Linked DNA regions of Oreochromis niloticus. The protein of the gene in region 1 interacts with the protein of each later gene in a biochemical or structural test. Links are inferred from orthologs where the notes say so. Each region holds a gene or a part of one and is shown in the gene's direction. Other genes may lie near its edges.

Region 1 (11,079 bases):
ATGTGTGAGCGCATATATGTTGAAGGATTGCTGCATGAATGCGTGTGAGAAGACGGGTATATTTAGCTTCGCTGACAGCCTGCGATGGGGGTGGGGGAAGACAAGAGGACAAAATGCACGAAGAGGTTTGGGTGGCAAAAAGATTCCTGAAATCACGACAGAGACACTGAACAGTTATGAATAGAACAGACTATATATAATGTATACAGTGTTTATTATTGCAGAAAAATGGTTTATATTCTCAGATGGAGTGCGAGATGTATCAGCCCCTTTTATTTGAGCACTTTTAAAGAGAAAACTGTCCATTTAACACAAAATCTTTGCCTGTTCTCTACCAAAATCCTTTTGTTCACAGATCAGAAAATAGTGTTTTCACTGTAATAAAATCTGTTTGAATAACTTAAATATTTCCTGAAGAGCTGGCAGAAAACACTCCAGTTTTTGCTGTGATTTCATCCCATTGTTCCGTTTCTTTCTTGCCGGTAACCGCATCCCTTCTCTCATTCGTCTGCTGCCCCCTGCCTGCTGCCCTGTGCACTGTCACCTCTCTAACCAAGTGTACTTTCCTCCACCTCACATCTAATGTTTGACCAAAAAAATAAAAAAATCTTCAGTAATGGGATAAATAAAATTGTTCTTTGTTGAGAAGAAATTAAGCAGGGGTTGGGTTTTTTCTGCACCTAGGGTTTATCCTGTCTTTATATTGCACAAATTCAGCTTTACATCATATGATTAAATATGAAAAAAAAAAAAGTACTCAAAATGCTAGCAAACAATAGAGTATGTGGTATGTGTGCATTGAGGAAGGCAGTAAAATATGCCAATGGTATTTGCTCTCTCGTGTCTCGCTGCTCTGCGATGTGGCAAACGCCATTCAGCAGCTGTTGTCCGAGAGCTGCCACTTCATAGCTGTCTTACAGAAACCATCACTCCATCTGTAGACTGAAAACGTTTCAGTTGCACAGGACTGTAAAGACACCATTTTTAACCCTTCCACTGGGATTTCTCTGCGTTGTACTGGTGTAAACGTTTCTCAAGTGGATGCATGAATGGTAAAAATGCACAAGCAGAAACATTCAAAGTACTACAAGTGCTATCAGGTAAACGCACTCTGGGGGATCACGTTACAAGCTTTGTCCTTAGTGAATACAGCTGAATGCTGCAAATGTTTATGTCCATGAGGGCAGGAAAAATAACTAAAAACTACTGGAAATGTTAATTATATATAGTATTTGATTCCTTGCTGGGCACAAAGTCTCGTTGGTTAAAATCATGAAGTGTTACGATAGTATTTAGACTTTTAGTGGATGTATTCCCGTGAACTGTGGTGTGGTTATGCTAGCACTGGCCCACAACCTGACCTAAGTCTTTGTACCGATAAATAACCTCTGCTCTGCACTCGCCTTCAGGGTTTTGTTTTTTTTTTAATGTTAGTGTTGAATAGAGCAGTGTTTCAGTGCCTGTGAAGTGCAAGGACAGAGGGGAAATTACAACAAAGCTGATATCCTTTTATAGTTCAGAAAAGATGTGATGTAAAGTCTCTGGAAAGCATATGATGTTATATTTTACAGTAAAAAGATGTTTATGGGAACTCTAAAGTAGCAGTTTTAATGGCAAACAAACCTAAAGATTTTTAATACAGCACAGTCATTTTTTTACAGTAAGAGCTTGATTTTGTAAGTTACATTTGGAATAATAATTTTTTTAAATGGTGGCAAATCCAGCTGTCAGACACACATTCCTAGTATACACTCTTTTCCCTTAATTCTTCATGGCATCGACTGAAAAAGGTGCTTGAAACATTCTTTAGAGATTTTGGTTCATATTGACATGACAGCATCGCACAGTTGCTGCAGATTTGCCACATCAATGATGAGCCTCTCACATTCATCCACATCCAAAACGTCTATTGGATTGGAATCTGGTGATTGTAGAGGCCATTTGAGAACAGTGAACTCATTGTGATGTTCCAGAGACCAGTTTGAGATGACTGAACTTTGACACCTTAGGCATGTTATCCTGCTGGAAGCAGCCACCAGAAGATCACACACTGTGGTCATAAAGGGATGGATATGGTTAGAAACAACACGCAGGTAAGCTGAATTAGTCAGGAGGAGCCCAAATATATCTCTAACACCAACAGCAGCCTGAACTGTTGATACATGACATGGTGAATTCATGGTTTCATGTTGTTTGCACCACATTCTGACCCTACCATCTGATTGTCACAGTAGAAATGTAGACTCATCAGATCCAGCAGCTCTTTTTCAAGCCTCTGTTGTTCAGGTTTGGTTTGCTTGACTTCCTGTTCTTAGCTGACAGGAATGGCACCCGGTGTGGTCTTCTGCTGCTGTAGACAATGTGCTTCCAGAGATCCTGTAAACAGAGGTTATTTTAGTTACTGTTGCCTTCCTATCAGCTCAAGGGAGTCTGGTTGTTCCCCTCTGACCTCTGATATGAACTGCAGCTCACTGGTTATGTTCTCGTTTTTAAACCATTCTACAGATCGTTGTTTGGGAAACTCCCAGCAGATCAGTAGTTTCTGACATATTCAGACCATGCCATGTTGAAACTCACCGAAATCATCTTTCTTCCCCATTCTCATGTTCAGTTTTCAGGTTGTTTTGACCATGTCTACATGCCTAAATGCACTGAGTTGTTTATCCACTTCACAGGCCTGTGAGTGTCTCTTACAAAGCACTGATGTATTTCCATTTCCTCCCACGTATACTTATAAAAGTTTAAGTAATCCTTAATTTTTCTTGCATTTAGGTGGATGATTTGAAGGAGTGTTGCTACACTAAACCTGTGTTAAAATGCATGAAATGTTCACAGCTAGAGGTATCAACAGAGCAGGACAAGTGAGTAGAGAAGTGACATGTTTGTCCCTCCCCTGTTACACTGCAGTCTAAAGGGCTTGCTGACCTTGTACTATTTGTGCCAGTGATATATGCACAGATACCTTCATTGTGTCTCCGATATAATCAAGACAAATTCCTTTAGACTTGTATTTGGATTTATGAGCAGCAGTGGGAAACAATATGGTTTTCTTGTCCTTGAAGAGTCCCGCACTGTATTTCTTATTTCTTCTCTCATGCCAAATCTAAAAACTTGGCCAGTCAGGGGAACTGAACTATGAGTGAATTTATGATGTTCTTTGGTAATGACTTCTTTTCTGTATATTTTCACTGTGCTTCACTGCAGTTGTCCTTGGACTCTCTCACTTGAACACATTATCTCTCACCCACTTCCTGGCCTCCTCACCTTTTAACCCACACAGACCTTTTTTTTTTTTTTTTTTACACACGTTTTATGTGTTCCTGAGAATTACAGCCATTTTTTCTGAAGCAATTTCCACCATCAAGTGTGATGAAAATTGCTGACTACTGGATCAGGTTTTATTGTAGCACAGCTTGCTAAAACGAGGAGTTGCATACAGAGCCAACAAACACTTAAAGTTTAAGACTTAAAGTTCACTGCTGGGAAAATCTTCCAACCAGAATACTAAACTGACTGCATCCCTCAGGAGCAGATGACTTTTTTTTCTGTGGGAACTAAATATTTCAGCCTCACTAGCACCACTCAGCTTCGCGAACGGTCCGCAACTTGTGGTCTGTGTGGCTCAGTGTGTAGCTTATTGTTGTTTTCTGATAGCTCTGTGCAGGAGGCTGGACTCTGACCCGGGCTTCTGTGGGTGGGGAGAGACGATAGATTGGGATGAATAGAGTTTATTCTTCCTCCTTCGACTCCTGATTTGTGACCGTGAATGAAGAGCATGAGAAAAGCGGGAGAAATATGAAGACACTCCAATCTTGTATCACGCAAAGAATTCACTTTTTTTTTTTTATAAATTCAACAGTCCCCTGATCTAAAATGTTGATTTGATTCATTCCTTAAATATTAATAAAGTTTTAATAGTCAAACATACTGATATACAAAGCAAGACTTACATCTAAAAATTTGCCAGTTTGCAAAAATAAACACATCGATATCAGTCAGTGTGATTCATAATGAAATAATGCAGCTAAGAGTGTAATCGTTGCCTCGATACATTTCAGATAATTTTTTTCATGTAACCAGTTTTCACATTTAATAATTCAAACAGGGAGTTTTACAACTTCTACAAAACAAAATGAAACTCTAATTAAACATGTTTGAATTTGTTAATTACGCGTTTTGACACAGTTATTGTAAAATGTGTCATTCTTTTAAACAGACATTTAATACTACACGTCAAATTGGTGAAATATTGTGTTAGTGGGATAATTGTTATGTAATTGTTCTAAATAAACTCTTGATGTAGGTCTTTTCTTATATGATAATGCACATTTTATGTAATTTTTGAAAAAACAGGCAATTTAACTTGAACATTTTTCAAATATCCTGATGTCCCCTTTTAATCTGAAATGTATTCACATTGTAAGGTTTCATGGATGTTTGGGGATCAGTATTACATCATGGATGTGGTGTAAGAAAGTGACTTTATTTAAGTGCTCATCACAGAAAAATAGAAAAAGGGGACGTACAAGAGAAAAGATTAAAGTACATTTAAAAAAGTAAGTGTCAGAACAGCCAATAAGAAGACACAAAAACCACATGTGTCTATGGCTCCATGACAACTGTATAATGCCCAGCAGTGAATGAGAGCATGGACCTGTAGGAATGTATACAGTACAATGTACCATTTTAAAATGAGTTACATTATATACACTGAATTTTACCATTTGCCATACAGAAAATTAATCAGGACAATGTTTTTTTTTTTAACTGTGTAACTTAGTACTTTACTCAGATAAAGGTCTAATTCACTTATATGTAAATGTTAAATATTATACTTTATACACAATACTGTTCATTTTAAATCTTAAGTTACTTACTGTCATGTAGATAATTTGCATTATTATAGATCTGCCGTGGTCCTGGGTTTTGGACCCAGCATTTTAAGTTTTTAAGTTAAAGTTTATGTTTTCAGTTCAGGGGTTTCTTTATTTTTCTTGTAATTATAGTATAGTCTGGTGTTAGTCATTGTTTCTTTGAGATCTAGTCTCTTTTATTTATTTATTTTTTATATCTCATCCCTTGTGCCTTAGTTTATTTTCACCGGTGTTCATTCGTGTTAATTTACTGTGTAAATGTGTGTCTAATCTGTAATTGTTATTTCCTTAGTTTCATTCTCCAGATTCTGTTTACTTGTGCCTAGATTTCTCCCAGTAGTGTTCACTTCCCTTGATTAGCACCCAGCGTGTGAGTTTTTATAGTCCTGTGTTTCCTTTGTTCATTGTTAAATTGTCTGTTTGTTATCCTCTTGTGTTTCCAGCCTATTTCCAGTCGGATTTTGTTTCTCCTGTTAGACCTCTGTTATTTAAATTCTCCTTGTGGACTTCTTGAATGTGTTTTGGACTTTTCTTCACCTTTAATAGAGGTAATTTTCTGTTTTACATCTGCCTGCCTCAGAGTCCTGCATCCATCCAGAACCTGCTTATCATAACAAGCTGCCCAGAAATATATAAGTAATTAAAATCATCCTGAGGTGCAACAGTGTTATTTACATCAATGAGTAAGTAATTATGAAAACACCCTTCTACATAATCTGCATGTTTACTGGAGGTGCTTTAAATGTGTGATGGTTATACAGCCGTTGCGTTACTAAGTTACTTAACAATTATTACTACTTTTACATAATCAAATTATTTTTTTTAACTTTCCAAAATAATCGACCAACACAAAATTATGTTTAAACTCTTGTAAAGCACCACTTTTCATGTTATACAGTCATAGTATGGGTCAGGGACTGAAAATCACAGCCAGGCTTTTCAAAGTCAATGCTCTATACAAAAAATATTTATCCCCAAAATTCTAACTTTAAGTAATTTGATTACATGTAAATGTACAGTGTGAAACATTTAATGCAATCTGGTGAATGAAATGTATTTGATTGTTATGTGGTCAGCTTACACCAAGCATATTTCCCTTAATGGTTAATTATTTGAATAAATAAACCTTTGAGTTTACACATTTCAAGTGCATTTTATTCAAACTTAACCCTTCATATTTGAGGGTCAAGAATACTTTTTGAGAGCCCAGATTTTGCTTCTCATAAACACAGGGTGTATCTAAAGAAATCATCAGATTGCAAAAGGTTAGGTATTTTTTTAAAGCAATGGACACAGAAGTTTGTGGTAATTTTTTTTTAAATACATTGCTGAAAATAAAGTTTAAAATAACAAAACTTACAACTTGTTCACAAGTGTTTAGTGTGTCCTCTTCTGGATGCACGGCACATGTCCATACGAAAGGCAAACTCGTCCCATACTTTTGCGGGCATGTCTGGAGTCACTGCTGTTGTTTTGCTACCCACAGACAACCGTGCAAAACTCACAAATCTGCTTTTTCGACCGTTTCCAGTGAAGGGCTGTGGAATTAAAGCACTTTGAAATCAGATGATTTTTTTTGTTCTTTTTTGGATACACCCTGTATGCTGACCCCCACCCCACCCCTCTGTGGCACCCTACTGTAAAAAATCCCGGAAACGCCCCTGCATATAGCCAATTTGACTTTTCCCCTTTACTTCCAAGCGATAGAAGGCATACTGAAATTTTTAAAAAGATGGTAGCATATTCACAGATTATGCATGAACAGGGTAAATGCTTTAATTGTTCTCCATATTTAACACTTTGATCCACTTGAGCCCTCTGAGGAGAAATAAGCGCAATTAAAGTTTGAAGGTAATTTTTAGACATAATTAGAATGAAACGTGTTATAGGGTTAAGTAAGTCAGACCGGAGTGAGGGCGGGTTGACTGAACCTGCCACTCCCCGTTCAGGCCTTCACGCCACGGGAGCGCGCCTCCGCTCCTGTTACGCGCTTACTACCAACAGGCAGGGAATTCATGGGAGGAAGTAACTGAGATTCGGACACGAACAACAACTCCACACGGTGCCAGAAACGACAGTTAGCTCTAAATGAGATGCAAAAACTTCATCTCTGTTCCCCCCAGATGGACTAGAAGCGCCGGGTCTGCGCAGATGGAGGCGGCGAGAAGTTTGCTGTTTGTCGGGGCCGTGCTGCTCGGAGTGACGGGCGCTTCAGGCAGAGAAGGTGGGTAACTTTCAGCGCTTTTCCCCTGTCTCTAATACCTCCGCCGTCGGCAAAATAGAACCACGGAGCGTCGGGGAGATGGCACAGGAGTGTGCTGGCTGTAATTTCAGGAAATGCTGGAGGTTTTTTTCTGGTCCGGAGGACTACATTCCTCCGTGACTCCTCAGCCGGGTCCTCTCAGCCCTCCTGGGATTTATGAAGGGCTGATTATGAGGAAAAATCACACCTGTCACAAAACAGCCTCGCTTTAGATTTACAGTTTGGACCAAAATAATTTTTAAAAAGATTTAAAAAATAAATAAACACAAATCTCCAATCTTGCAACACTTTGACTTGCTCAAATAAACACAGAGCAGAGACTCAGGTAAGAAATATGAGAACCTGCTTTGCAGCTTTGCGACACAACTGACTTGTGCACTGCAGGCGGACGGTTCGTGGCTTTGCTGTAAACACAAACAAAAACAAGACACTAAACAGGCAGTGCATTGTGGGCCAAGGATCATGACGATGTCAATTATTCACTCCTGGCTCTAAAAGGGGGACATTGTGCGATAGAGGGGCCACTTGTCACACTTGGAGCTTGAGTACGTGCCAGTAAAACAAGAGCTAACTGGAAGGTGCAAAAGAGCTGCAAATCATATTTTTGCTTGTTTTTCATTTTATTATAGGTTTTGGGGGGATAATAATAATTTATAATAATAAATAATATAATTTAATGCTTGATCTGGTGGTCAGTCAGTACTTGGACTTGAGATATTTAATTTGTTAACTGAGAAAATGATTGGTTGTGCAGATTAATGGGTGCATATGGACCTGTATAGATCTATTTTAGGTGTATTTGGGGAGATCAATAATCCCCGGCCAGCTGCTTTTAAAAGCAGTTTTATTGGCACATGCTAATAGAAAAATGAATCTGAACTCAATAACAATTTATTCTACAGTGCTCACTTTATTGACATACAGCTGTTGGCTTTCATTGATGTGCACAAAATAAAGAAAGAGCCCCCTTTGGGGTTTTTCATTCAAGTCCCCCTCACAACTAAAATGACTAATGTAAGTACAAACAACTGTCTGTTTTATTAGCTGCTCTCTCCCTCTCTCTCTCTCTCACACACACACACACACACACACAAACAAAGCCTATAGTCACAGGTGAAGTGATTTTCAACTATGACTGCATTGTTGGTGGGAACTGGTTGGTGCACTTTACTCAATCTGTGAAGCATCAGTTCAGGACGAGCGCTCCGACTGGCTCCAGAGTGAATCTCAGCAGTCTTACTTTCAGTTATGAAGTATTATTAAAGTGTTATATCACACACACACTCTTTCACCTCCCCGTCCCCGTGTGTGTGTCTGTGTTCAGTGGCCTTTGTATCCATAGAGTTCGTGCCCTCGTCACACTCTAGTGAAGCTCACTGTGCACTGATTAAGTCTTACTGAAGTGGCCTCAGTGATAGGCTAACTCAGCCTGCTGTGACTCACCAGTCTAGACTGCATGTTACTGATCTAACTCACCCGGAGATGAGAGCGGGACCACCAGAGAGGCATCGCTGCTGTCCTCCGAGGAGACTTTCAGCCTCTTCTTCCGTATGTCTTCTCTTCACCCGGCTTTAAGAGTATAGTGGGAAAATCCTCGGAGGAAATAAAGTGTTAGACAAATAAAGTGTCATCAGTGTGACACTCAGAAATACTGCTGACATCTTCTAAACTCTCAGTATTTAAACGATTGCCTCAGCTACCTGTTTGTGTTAGCAGAATGAAATCATGGGGAAATAATTAAAAGAAACCCTGTTATTTTCACTATTTATTAACTTCCCTGTAATTCATAATAGGTCTGTAACAGTGATACTCAACTTGCGGCTCACAGGCCAAATCAGGCTCGGCGTAGGGTGCTGGCCAGCTCTCTATAAAACTAAAGAGGTTGCAGTTATTTTTAATGTAGTGTAAACTTTCAAAGCATCCATAACTAAAATGCAGTAGCATCTCATGAGCGCGGTGAAATTATTATGCATCATAAGGGCCAAAAAGCCCTTCCAACAAGGCCATTCATTTGGAAATAAATGATTTAAAAGAAAGGAGTTTGCTCTTTTTACTGCCCATTCATTCAGTCTGATAACTATTATAAATATATTAAAAATTCTTCTTATTAAACAACCTTTTGTTTGATGTGGTGTTTGTAAAAACTCCCTCCAGGTAAAACATGTAACGTATCCCATGTCTGCACGACGTTGCAAGTAAGGAGCTACGGGTAAAAATGCTGTTTCAAACCCTCGATTCCAAACTTAGAAACAAAGAATCGTGTTGTATTTTCAGTACAATATAAACAAAAACCATAACATATTTTCCAGGGTTATTTAATTAATTAAATATAATTTCTGTCCCTCATAAAATAAGGAGTTGATGAGAGAGATCATTCAAATGAAAACTAGCACAAAATTGCTAAATATGAAGCTAGCATATTCATCCATAATGGAGAATAGTGCTGGGTGATATGACAATATATATCGTGTGGACGATAGAAAAGTGTCTATCGTGCCATTTGTCTTCTATCGTTTCTATTGTTTCTAACCCTAATTTTATAAATTATTACATAAAATATATCATTAATTAACCCTTTACAACTGGTCGGAGCAGGCACACTCCGTTTTGCCTAACTATTTTTAAATCCCTGTAGAACTGGAACCACGTAAGGTAGCGCAATAATTTTTTTGGCATATGAAACCGTAGGAGTTGTACTTACATGTTATTCCATTAGCTTGCTCTAGGTCACGGTTTCCTTCCACATATAGCTTTGCAAAAATTGCATAAAAAGCACTTCCAGCAACAAAAACATAATATTCCAGACTTGCAGCAACAAAAACAATATTCCAGAAACAGGCTTTGCGATCCGATCAGCTGTTCATAACACTTCCTATGTTGGAATATAAGTAACCCCAAACATCGTATGTCCGCCATTACCTTTCCGAAACCGGAAGTGACGTCATTTTCGCGGAAAATGTAGTTTTTTACTTTTTATAGCCTATGTTGGTGTTTTTAAAAATCATGTTTGACTTTATGCTTTTCTGTATCGTTTCCGGGATGCTTAGAAGTCAAATTACACTGTTGGAAATAGTTTATTTTGATGCACATGCTGTTTTTTTGCAAATTTGCATTATAATATTTATTTTCATTTTTCCTGTAGTATATAAAAATTAGTGTATCTCAAAAATAAAACTATGAAGACACTCAAAATAAATTTCTCGTGGTTGGAAACTATTTTGTGCAACTTTCTTGTATTTACAGTTTTGAGGGATAAGCCTCTTAAATTTCTCTAAGTAGAAATACATGTAAAAAACAAAACAAAAACAAAAAAACGATTTTCAATTTTTTTGTAGTTTATTGCACTTTTTTGCAATTTATGTAGTTACTATGGACTTAATGCATACATATCATTAAAATTTGGGCTATAACGGTTGTATTGATGTATAGCAACTTGAAATGCTCCCACAAATGGCACTACAGCATGTAAAATGTAAAGATAAGCTCTGGTGGACTTGGTCTCATGGTAGGTCTTAAAGAGTTAAATAGCCTGTGGCAAATATATTAGTGTTGTCTTCTCACTATACATACTCTTAACTTTATGCAAGAGTACATAAAGTATAAAAAAAAGATATTTTTCACAAAGAAACTCCGTCTTGTGGTTTTGCGACATGGTGCTGCTTTACGTGCACCCGGATTTGTGACATGCTTTACGGTAACTCAAAACAAAGACTGCACCCTCTCCACTCGCTGTTTACAGACTGCATACTTTCCAGATGACCACAGGTCAGGTGGTATATCGTGATATATATCGTTATCGTGATTATAAAATAATTCATATCGTGATAAATATTTTTTCCATATCGCCCAGCACTAATGGAGAAGTAATTATTTTTTGGAGTGGTGTGTGCAGGCGGGTGACAGATCAAAGGCAAAACCCGAATGTGCATCCGGAGGAAAGAC
Region 2 (10,229 bases), on another chromosome or scaffold:
CTTTTCCGTCTAGCAAATTGAAATAAGAATATAGCTTGTACTCTCTTAAGTCATTCTGGGTGCACGTGCCATTTGCGTGTAAGAGTTCCTTGCTCTACAAAGCAACACTAACTCATAAGTGCAGTTATGTGGAGTGCAGTTTGTTTGCTTTTTTCTCTATCTTTGCACAAACACGAGGGCTTCTGTGGTGTAGTGGTTAACACATTCATCTTACATGCGAAAGATCTCAGATACTACCCCACTCAAGTTAACTACTACTAGTGCTGGTTGGAAGCCCAAATAAATGGGACGACTGCATCAGTAAGGACATTCAGTGTTATATCTTTGCCATGTCATGCATATCAATCAGCTGTGGTGACCCTTTGGGAAACTCAGTATGCAAAAATTGAAAATGGAACTTCATTTTATGGGTGTATGGGTGCAACAGTTGTATAAAAGTCCCTCCATGACTAGCTTACACTCTTAGATAAAACAGCAAGCTAGCTGCTATAACAATCATACAAAATTTTAACAACTTTTTTTTAATATTCTTCTGTGTTTTCACAATCTGGTCTTGAATATGAATATCGACCATCACCAGTAGTTTGGCTACTGTTGGTTGGTTGGTTGGTAATTTATTTCAACATGTGAACAATATACAGGTACATTTAGAAAAGAAAATAAGAGAGAGAGAGAGAAAAAATACTATACAAAATACATACAAAAAACCCCCATTCTGATTAATTTACATGTTGAAAGGGAGTGAGAAGAAGTAAACACTTATTTAATCCCACCCTGTTGCCATAAATACTGTGTAGGACTGTTATGAAAATGCATGTCTTACCACATCCTTAGTGAGACAGGCAAGTGTGCAGACAAGTGTGTAGCATGTCGCTGACAAGCTGGCACAGCTTCTGCCAATCCAGGAAACTGCTGAGTCATTTAGTTAGTCTAGCAAATTTGACTGTGTCACTGAAGCTAAAAGAAGGATTTCATTTATTGATTGATTAATTAATGATTAATAAAGGATACTGCTTACCTGGTGGTTTATCAGTGTGCCAAATATTTATTAAATAGCTAGCAGCTAGGGAGTTAAATATCTATTTAAGATATGTTTCTCAGGAAAACTCCCCCTGTTTTAAAAACTCCAGTGGCATGGTAAAGTTGGTCTGTGGATGCATCATGCAAAACTAAGCTAAAATTAAACAAGCTAAAACAAAGTCTCAACCTCTGGGGCTGAAAAATGAAGGTAATCTGGACCAGCTAAGAAGGTAACACCTTCAACGTCTGGGAAACTACAGTCAATCGCAAACTGACAGGTCAGTGTTTTATCACAGTTAATCGCTGTAGTATCACAAACAGCTTTCATGTAATTGCCAACTTGACAATTCAAATGCAATCTGATGGCAGACTGATTTCACACCGATGGCCACTGTTGTATGAGGCGCTGTTTGTAAACTGAAACAAGCTGAAATTAACGGCAACATTTTTCCACATTTAGCTCAAAACCTTACAAGAACATGTTTTTTCAAGTCACTTTTTACAACATTTACTAAAATATTTGTAACTTTTTATATTCAAAACACAATTTTAAATGTTAAATGTTTTCAGCTTTGCTTTGTGTTGTCGACATTATGTTAAAACTTAAAAACCCTTAAAGAAAGATTGTGCGTGTGCCCTCATTAGGATAGGGATTTGTGTCGGCATGTTAGCTTAAGCCATAAATTGTTAATTGATAATTATGTGACAGTTCATTTCAGGTCATGTTACAGAATAACATGAAAGTAATGTAACGAGTAATGTAACAAATTCACTCTCCCAGCAATACTGCTGATGGCAGACAGCTTCAGTCTTACTGACTTTTTCGCAATCTTGACGCACCAGAGATGCTTTGAAGGCGACAACTGTCTGCAAGGTCCCCTTCAAACCTTTTCAAAGATTGCACGCTCACTGAACACATTGAGAAAAATGTTTTTGTTGTGCTGTGGTCTCTAGCTGTCATTTTCCCTAGCATGACTGTAGCATTATAGATGAAATAAAAAACGTTTAACCTGGTATGAGACACTGTTCCAACGTGGGTGTGTATCAGAGGACATGGGGATTTTTATTATACGTCACCCATTCAAGTTCTGTTAAGGCTTAAAGTTTCTGTTATTAGAGGTGTGGCCACTTCTGCTGACTAAGTAGCTAGCTATTTGCTAGGCTTCACCTGAGCTTATTTGACTTACTGTGTTTCAACACTTCATTTGTGTTGTTTGGGCCTTTTGGCTGTACCATACACCAGAAATAACGCCAACAGTAAGAAGCGTGCGATGTTATCATACCAATCAAAAACATTAGTCTAGTCCAGCAACCAACAAGTATTTTTTGTCCATTTAGTAAACAGGGATGAGAATAGAGATCTTTTACATTATATGTCAATGTGCCCACTAAATAACTCTTTCTTAAAATATGTAGCAAAGTATATTCTTGTATAAACTAGCTCATTTAAACAACAGTTATGTGTTTAAACAGGCTCCAGATTACAGATGGAAGCTGTCTGCGATAAGGACAGTGCCAGTTTGTTTACAGAGGAGGAAATGTGATCAACTGTTTTCCAAAATGAGTTTCACTAAAAGCAGAAGCTGTTTTAAATTCAAAATGTCATCAGTTTTTAATTCTAATCCTATCGAATAAAAATATGTGTTATTGTCTGGTAAGAATGTTGCAGTAGTGTTTGATTTGCTGAGATGAATTGAATCCTCAAATCTTCTGGAAAAGCAAAGACCTTTTGAGGAAGCACCTGCCCGCTGGCACAGGATAATTTCCACAGTAAACACTGGAAGAGTGAGGAACGTCATCCGGAGCACAATAATAAGGGGTTTTCCCGCAGCCATGTTTACCTCAGAGCAACTTGCCCCTGGAACAGCTGCACAGATTTGCTCCCAAGTACATTAATGCAAAATCCTACTGCACGTGTTTTTTAAAAGTTTCATAAGCAGCCTTTAATTAAGGGCAGTGCAGCTACTGGTAACTTAGAATCTTATAGTCATGCATTATTTTACCTTAAATATGCAAAGGAAGAAATAACTGCTAGATAAACATGCTGAATTCAGCAAATTATGGCTGCTATCTTATATACAGTATACTGTCTGATTAAAAGTGCTATTACAGTGAATTCCACAAATTAAGCTACAATATAGCTGAACCAGTGGTGTGTTATGTCTGCAGTACAAAGAGCATAATATGGGAAAATAGTACAAGGAAAACTGAAGCTCAACTAAAACTCATGAACATCCTGGAGGTACAGCAAAGGGGCCTGTTCAATACATCGGGGGAGCTCAATTGTTCCTTGTTTATTGACAATCACTTTGTCTTTTTATGGCAAATGTAGCAGCAAGACCTTCTCTCAGTCGATGTGTGACAGAGGATAAAAAAGGTTCCCACACTGAGAGGAAGTCAAAGAGGGGCCACTTCTGATGCGGAGGGGGATCAAAATTGAGGAAAGTGCGTGCGTGTGAATGTGCGTGGTCTAGGTATTACTCATCTTGTGGGGACCACAATCAAAAAGGGACAAAAAGTATGCGTGTGAGTGGATGTGTGTCTGTCTGTGTATCTAAATAAATAAAACCTATGGTAAGATTTGAAACAGCACTAGCTTGCCGCACAGAAATCATTGTATAGCTTTTCTGAAAACACCCCCACCCCCACCCCCACGAACACACAATTATAAAACACGCACATTTGCAGTCACACGCAGCGCACACTCACATTAATAATGGGAGTTGAAAGTATCTATTGGCAGCATGTATACTTTTGGCACAGAGGTGGTCAGAAGTGCATTTACTAAAGGAGACCCACGCTCCCTTTCTTTCCCACTGTTGTTCAGGTTATCCTGTGGGGCCACTTATGACCCTTCTGCAGGCAGGATGCAATGTCTGGGGACCCCAACAGAGCTGTACACGAGCATCCGCCAAGCCCTGGGAAGAAAACAAGGGCTGATGGAAAACTAGAAGAAAGGAGTATAAAGAGAAACGGCAGTTAGTAACCAGGACGCACTCAATAACACTCACCATGCACCTGCAGCCTGTGTGTGTGTGTTTGCGTAAATGTGTGTACATGTGTGTACAGTGAAGCAAGGTTGTTCCTTCAGTGAACTACAGCATAGCACAATCCCCACACACAGCACAGGTGGTCCAAACAAAAACCTGTGAAGTGTTGCCCAGAGAGTAATATCCCCACGTTGTGTGTTGTATAAACCCCCCCATAGGAAACAAACACTTCCGGTGTTGTAAGATTTATTGTTTGGTGCACTTATAGGTTACAGTATACTGTGACTGATATCTTCCTTATACGGTTCTTTGATTTATTCTCAATATTTAATAGCAATTTAGCATGCACGTGAGACATGAAAGGGTCATAATTACTGCTAGATAACTCAAGGACATATTGTTTTGTGTTTATTGTCTCACTCTGAAGAAGAGGGGTGAATTCCCTTGGCAGTGCATTGTGTGGTGAGAAAAGGAAAGACCTGGTTAACTGTTTTGTATGGTGTGAAAAACCAAAGCATTGTTGTACTGACCGCACACCATCTTGCTAAATTTTTGCCCCAGATAAGTCACGATTTGCATTCGATTTCACATCTGCACACCTCCACCTGCACCACATACAACACAGAGGAATCCACAACGGTTCAACACTATGCTTCTATATGTGATGTCATTGTAAGGGTCATATATACATAGAAATGCCAAGAATTAGTCAGAAATGGTTACACAACTTTGAACTGACCTACTGTAAGGACAGTCTGGGATTAGAATAAGTCTGGTTACACCCTCTAGTGTCAACACTGGGGAACATCGGGAAGCAATTTCTCATTTTGAATAGTGCTATAAACAACAATAGTATCAGTACCATTAAAAGTAAGCTAACTAACATGAGATCAAATTATGGCCACATTTCTTGCCCTGTAACCATTTTATATACAAGCAGAAAGATGTCTTAACTTTTTGCTTGACTCACTAACCTAAAGTGTATCTTTATTAAGTATTTGGTGGTATTGCATTGAGAAGTCATTATAAGCAACGCACAGTCATGTGAAAAACAACATTGTCACAACACTCATTTCATACGTTGCAATATTTGTGTGAAAAACTAAAAACGCCCAATGATTCAGTAGCTTATAGCAGTGACCTGAAGTAACCACTTTCTGTATGACTGCATCAGTCTGTCACTGTCCACTCTACTCTATAACACTATTTTTTTAAGGCATTTGTTTATGCACAGCTCTCTTAAGGTCCTGTAACAGCATTTGAGATCTGGACTTTGACTGGGTCACTGAAACATCTTGATTTTTTCAGACATACTCTTGTAGGTTTGCTGCTGTGCATTGTCCACCGATTATTGTACACGATCCAGTTTCAGCCAAACTTTAGCTGTTGGACGGATGACCTCACATTTGACTCTAAAAAACTTTGGTTTAACGCCGAGTTCATGGTGGAGTCGATACCTGCAAGGTACCCTGTGGCTGCAAAACAAGCCCAAATTATCAACCCGTCAACCGCCATACGAGACACTGGTATGAGGCGTTTGTGATGACATGCTGTGCTTGGTTTTGGTTTGTTTGGCGAAAGCATCATGGCCAAACATGTTCATTCTGGTCTTGTTGGTTGAAAAGACAGTATTTAAGAAGTCTAGGTTTATTCAGATTCATCTTTTCAAGCCTAAAATGCTCATTTTAGAGAGAAGAGGGTTTCCCCTTGGTGACCTTTTCAAACCAGCCATACTTATTCAGTCGTTTTCTAAACATACTGCACTGAATGAGGCTTTTAGAGTCTCAGATGTAGCTCTTTGGTTACCTTTACCTTCGTTATTGCTATGGAAGCAGTATGAGTGTTGTTTGTTTTTTACAGTACTGCACAGAGTGCTATAAAAACATTTTCATATGACTATATTTAACTACTTTTGGGTTTCCTGTGTAATAGAACTTATTGCATACAGCCTTAATAATGAAAAAGTATCAGTAAATGGGAATTGTGAAATCTTGCTCTGTTATTACATGGAAACAGACTTAAACTGAGTGCATGTTTTGGGATATACACCTTCACACTTTACTGTTTTCTGTGGTCATCAGGCAATATAGGCAAAAGAAGAGCTGCAAGGCCCTCATTTGTTGCTATTGTTACTGCAATAAAAATATTAATTAACACAATAGTAATCAGTTATTGACATTAAAACTTGCATAAAATTTATAAAGGGGTATATTACCAGGGTGGTTGCACATCCCACTAGTAGCTGAACACTCCCTCTTGTGGCTGGAATTGTGTATTGTTTTACAGTATTACTGTAAACATGTTTCTTGACACTGAAAGGTAAAGATATGAGTAGCAGAGGCCAGCAGAGGAACTGAAATGTGTGTCATGGAAACCATGCCCTGTTTCTTTATCTTGCATCTTATACACTTGAGCAGACAACACTCCACCACACCTACATTTAACACCAATCACCCAGACACACAATACAACACAGTGCAGACACTTCTTTTTTTCCATTGCATTGTCGATTTGATACCAAAGGTCATTTGCATTTTTTAAAAAAAGATCACAGGCACAATTTTTGCAAATCATTGACCGCATCTACACATTCTGAAGTAAAACAAGCTCTACTGATAGCTAACCTAAAGTCCTTCTTGACCAATAACTTTGAGGACCATACATTTGTGAGTTTTAATACTTAAAGATGACATACAGTTATCAGTTGTGTTCACTGACTAATTGCAGGACTGGGGCGGGGTAACTACTGCAAGTGAAATTTAATCAGAAGATTATTTTTGCACTCTGTAGGTAGATCATCTGCCTGAGAATCAAGGGAGAAATGTAAGAGACCAGACAAAAGAGCAAACTGCTGTCTGTTTCCAGTAAACTGAATGTAACCCCAAAGGGGAGGTCCTGGTCTTCACTGTTAGAGAGAGAGAGAGCGAGAGCAAGAGAGAGAGAGAGAAATTAGAGCAGAGCAAAAGAGAGAGAGAAACTTTCCAAACCAAAATGAGTGAGTGAGAGTGACACACTGACAAGCACTCAGTTTTCAATGAGGAAATTGAAGACATTTTGCATCTGGAGTACTTCTGAAGACACGAGCCAAAGACAAGCTAAAGGTATTTATCTGCTGAATGAATATATTACATTATAGAGCAGTGACAGGCATTGAGAATTTCTAGATATTGTAAGGTAATGGTGAACATAATAGTGTAAGTAATATTTTATTTAAATAATGGTGTACAATGTTGGTAAAACACATCAAAAATTAAACAAAACATAACGCGTAACGTGGATGATCAAATATGTGCGATAAATAATTGGCAAAAGTATCAAGGCTAATTATTATTATGAATTTTCATTTCAATTATCACTTTTTTCCGCGTGAAATCCATAAGTCAGCGGTTTGTGTAAAGCCTCCCTACAGGCATGCATTTCATGACATATTGTTATTACACACCACTGAATATTAAAGCACTGCTCTTGCTGTTTTAGGGGTAATTTTCCATTTTAAGACGTAATTAAACCATCGATATTGATAATACGGTACTTACACATACAGTCTAAAGCATACACAACACTCTACACTACTCTGCTACATCATTATTTTATCAGTGTTGTATATTTGCATGTGCAGTCATTATCTTTAGCTTTTGTAATACACATTACATCAACTATATTTGACTTTGTGATCTAAAAAACACTTTTAAGTTTTAACATTAACACCTCATAAAACTTGCTTCAGACAAACAGCAGTTCTTTTTTAACACCATCGCTTGGTTTGGTATCATTTCTACACCAGTGTGTTTTTAGCTATTTTTAGCCGTTTTCTTTTCCTCTATTTTTAACTGAAACTTGACAATGAAGCCCCATCATAAACTGTACATGCTAATGCAATGGTAAAGAGCTGTAAACACATTTTCACTTCCTCTTTTGAGAGCCAGTTTTTGTTTTTTGTTTTCTTGTTTCAATTTTATTATTTTTTTGGGTCACCTGTTACCAAGCAATACATCTAAAGAGATGCTCACTAAATACATTTTTAGCAATTTTGAGTCATTAGATGTCGTTTTCCAGCACCGGGCATGAAGTCAAAGAGCAGGCCCTGCAGTGGGAGGAGTGGAGACTAAAAACAGCAGCAGGAAAGCTCATCTGTTTGATCAGGTAAAAGCAAAGTATTGAGCACATTGTAGCTATGTGAGTGTCTTTCCATAAACTTGTTGAATCATTGTTTACTGATACCACACTAAACAGTGCATTCTGTAATTAGATATGTTATTTTAGTAAATGTTAGCATCATGTAACATAGCTAAAAGAGATTTCCACGAAACATGCAGGATGGGCTGCACTTGCAGTGGCGAGAAACAAGTAAAAGAAGAAGGATTCTACAAAGGAAAACACAAATCACACGCCTCCCCGTCATCAAACCATATAGTAAGTAAAACACTAAAAAGATTTACTCAGATGTGAAACAAATTTTACTCTAATTACCTCAAAAGGTTTACTTGACAAACTGGACATAATCAACGTCTTCTTTTTTTCTCTCCATTCTTTCAAGGGACGAAGTGGAAACGCCTATACAAATAATGGTAATCACAAACCTCCTTGCATAAATCAAACATCATAGTAGAAAGTAACAGGCCTGCATTCATGGACCCAACTGCTGCTGCGTTAAGAGACATTAGTGGCAGTAATAAGAGCTACAGTTTTGCGATCGAAATCTCGGTTGAATTTCCTCTGTTCTCTTCTGGGGATTAGATGAGATTGCAAATACATGAAAGTAATGTTAATGTCACAGATGTAAAATAACACAGCGGTTGCTCGGAGAAGGAAAACAATATCACCACAAATTGCGCATGTTAGAACACAGGATCATGTCAAAATAAAACGTCTAAGAGTAAAAAGCAGATTAAAAATACACTTTTAAAGAAACTCTGTGCTCTTCTTCCCTTTAGATGACACTATATTTATTGCACAACACGACTTCAAAGCGACCAACGACAGTGATCTGCCTTTCAGAAAGGGAGACAAACTTAAAGTATTGCAAGAGTAAGTCTCATTCTATGGTTCCCACAGTTGTGAAAGTGACAATAAAGAAAGCGCACAGAGAAATAAAATGAATGCGACGTGTTTGTCTGATGTACAGAACCGGAGAATGGTGGCTGGCCCGACTGCTGACGACTGGACAAGAAGGCTTGATACCATCGAATTATGTAGCCAGAGCAGATACACTGGAAGTGGAAAAGTAAGCTTGAAATATTATGGAATGAAATGTAGCACGCATCTATTGATTGATTAATGTTGTTGTAATGCTTTGTATTATTATATTCAGGAAGAGTGACTTCTATGGTTTTGTGGTGCTCTCTCTTGCAGATGGTTTTTCAAGGATTTGGGCAGAAGAGAAACCGAGAGGCTACTTTTAGCACCCGGAAATAAACCAGGGGCCTTTCTAATTCGAGAGAGTGAGACCTGTAAAGGTGACCACCATCAGTATCTTTCCGTGATCATGCCACAAATCACATTTTTAGCAGCTACCTGTATTCATTTTCAGTGTGGTCAATAAACCCAAATGTCCCTTTTTCCCCTCTCAGGGTCATTCTCGCTGTCAGTCAGAGATTATGAAGGGGAAAGAGGAGATGTAGTAAAACATTACAAAATCCGTTGTCTGGACAAAGGTGGCTACTACATCTCCCCTTCCAACACGTTCTCGACCCTACAGGAATTGGTTCAATACTATACCCGTAAGTAACAACTACAAATACAACATCTCCACCCTCAAAAAGTTTGTATTTTCAGAGATGTATAATTTAAGAAACCATATCTATGCACAGGATTTTCTGTTTCTGTGTTTCCAATTCAGCATTTATAATTGTAAATCCTGCATCTTGCATTGATTTGGACTCAGGTTAAGCTTGCTGCTTTGAATTATAAAACATCTGCAGTGACTTTGAATTAAAGGGGGAAGTTCGACCCTTGTGATGTGTTGTGCATTTCCTGAGTGAGAGGAGTGATAGTCTTTCCACTCCTGCGACTAAACCACAAGATAAGCAGGCCAGATCTTGAGAAAGGTTGTCTCAAAGATCAACTTATGAAAAAGAAATGCATGTGAGCACGAACAAACATGCTTTTAGAATTATCTAATGAAAGATGAGATGTATGGTTTCTGTAACTAAATTTATCACTCGTGCAAAGAAAGATGGAAAAAAATATTGTTTGTTATATCTGAATGTATCGTATTTG

Evidence for each region.
Region 2: the proteins of erbb2 (region 1) and blk form a complex in vitro, tested with the Homo sapiens proteins (2 studies listed by BioGRID and IntAct, with this or other methods). The link is inferred for Oreochromis niloticus from reciprocal best matches to the Homo sapiens genes ERBB2 and BLK.

What each region holds. Positions count from the first base shown.
Region 1 is NC_031973.2:16,305,086-16,316,164, reverse strand, and holds the start of erbb2 (receptor tyrosine-protein kinase erbB-2), read left to right. Parts: upstream 1-6,507; 5' UTR 6,508-6,962; coding exon 6,963-7,098; intron 7,099-7,104; exon of another isoform or gene 7,105-7,324; intron 7,325-7,479; exon of another isoform or gene 7,480-7,541; intron 7,542-8,613; exon of another isoform or gene 8,614-9,010; intron 9,011-9,838; exon of another isoform or gene 9,839-9,896; intron 9,897-11,079. UniProt on the Homo sapiens protein: Protein tyrosine kinase that is part of several cell surface receptor complexes, but that apparently needs a coreceptor for ligand binding. Essential component of a neuregulin-receptor complex, although neuregulins do not interact with it alone.
Region 2 is NC_031980.2:8,609,114-8,619,342, forward strand, and holds the start of blk (tyrosine-protein kinase Blk), read left to right. Parts: upstream 1-7,048; 5' UTR 7,049-7,111; intron 7,112-8,066; 5' UTR 8,067-8,153; intron 8,154-8,326; 5' UTR 8,327-8,327; coding exon 8,328-8,423; intron 8,424-8,547; coding exon 8,548-8,578; intron 8,579-8,944; coding exon 8,945-9,038; intron 9,039-9,135; coding exon 9,136-9,234; intron 9,235-9,362; coding exon 9,363-9,466; intron 9,467-9,580; coding exon 9,581-9,730; intron 9,731-10,229. UniProt on the Homo sapiens protein: Non-receptor tyrosine kinase involved in B-lymphocyte development, differentiation and signaling. B-cell receptor (BCR) signaling requires a tight regulation of several protein tyrosine kinases and phosphatases, and associated coreceptors.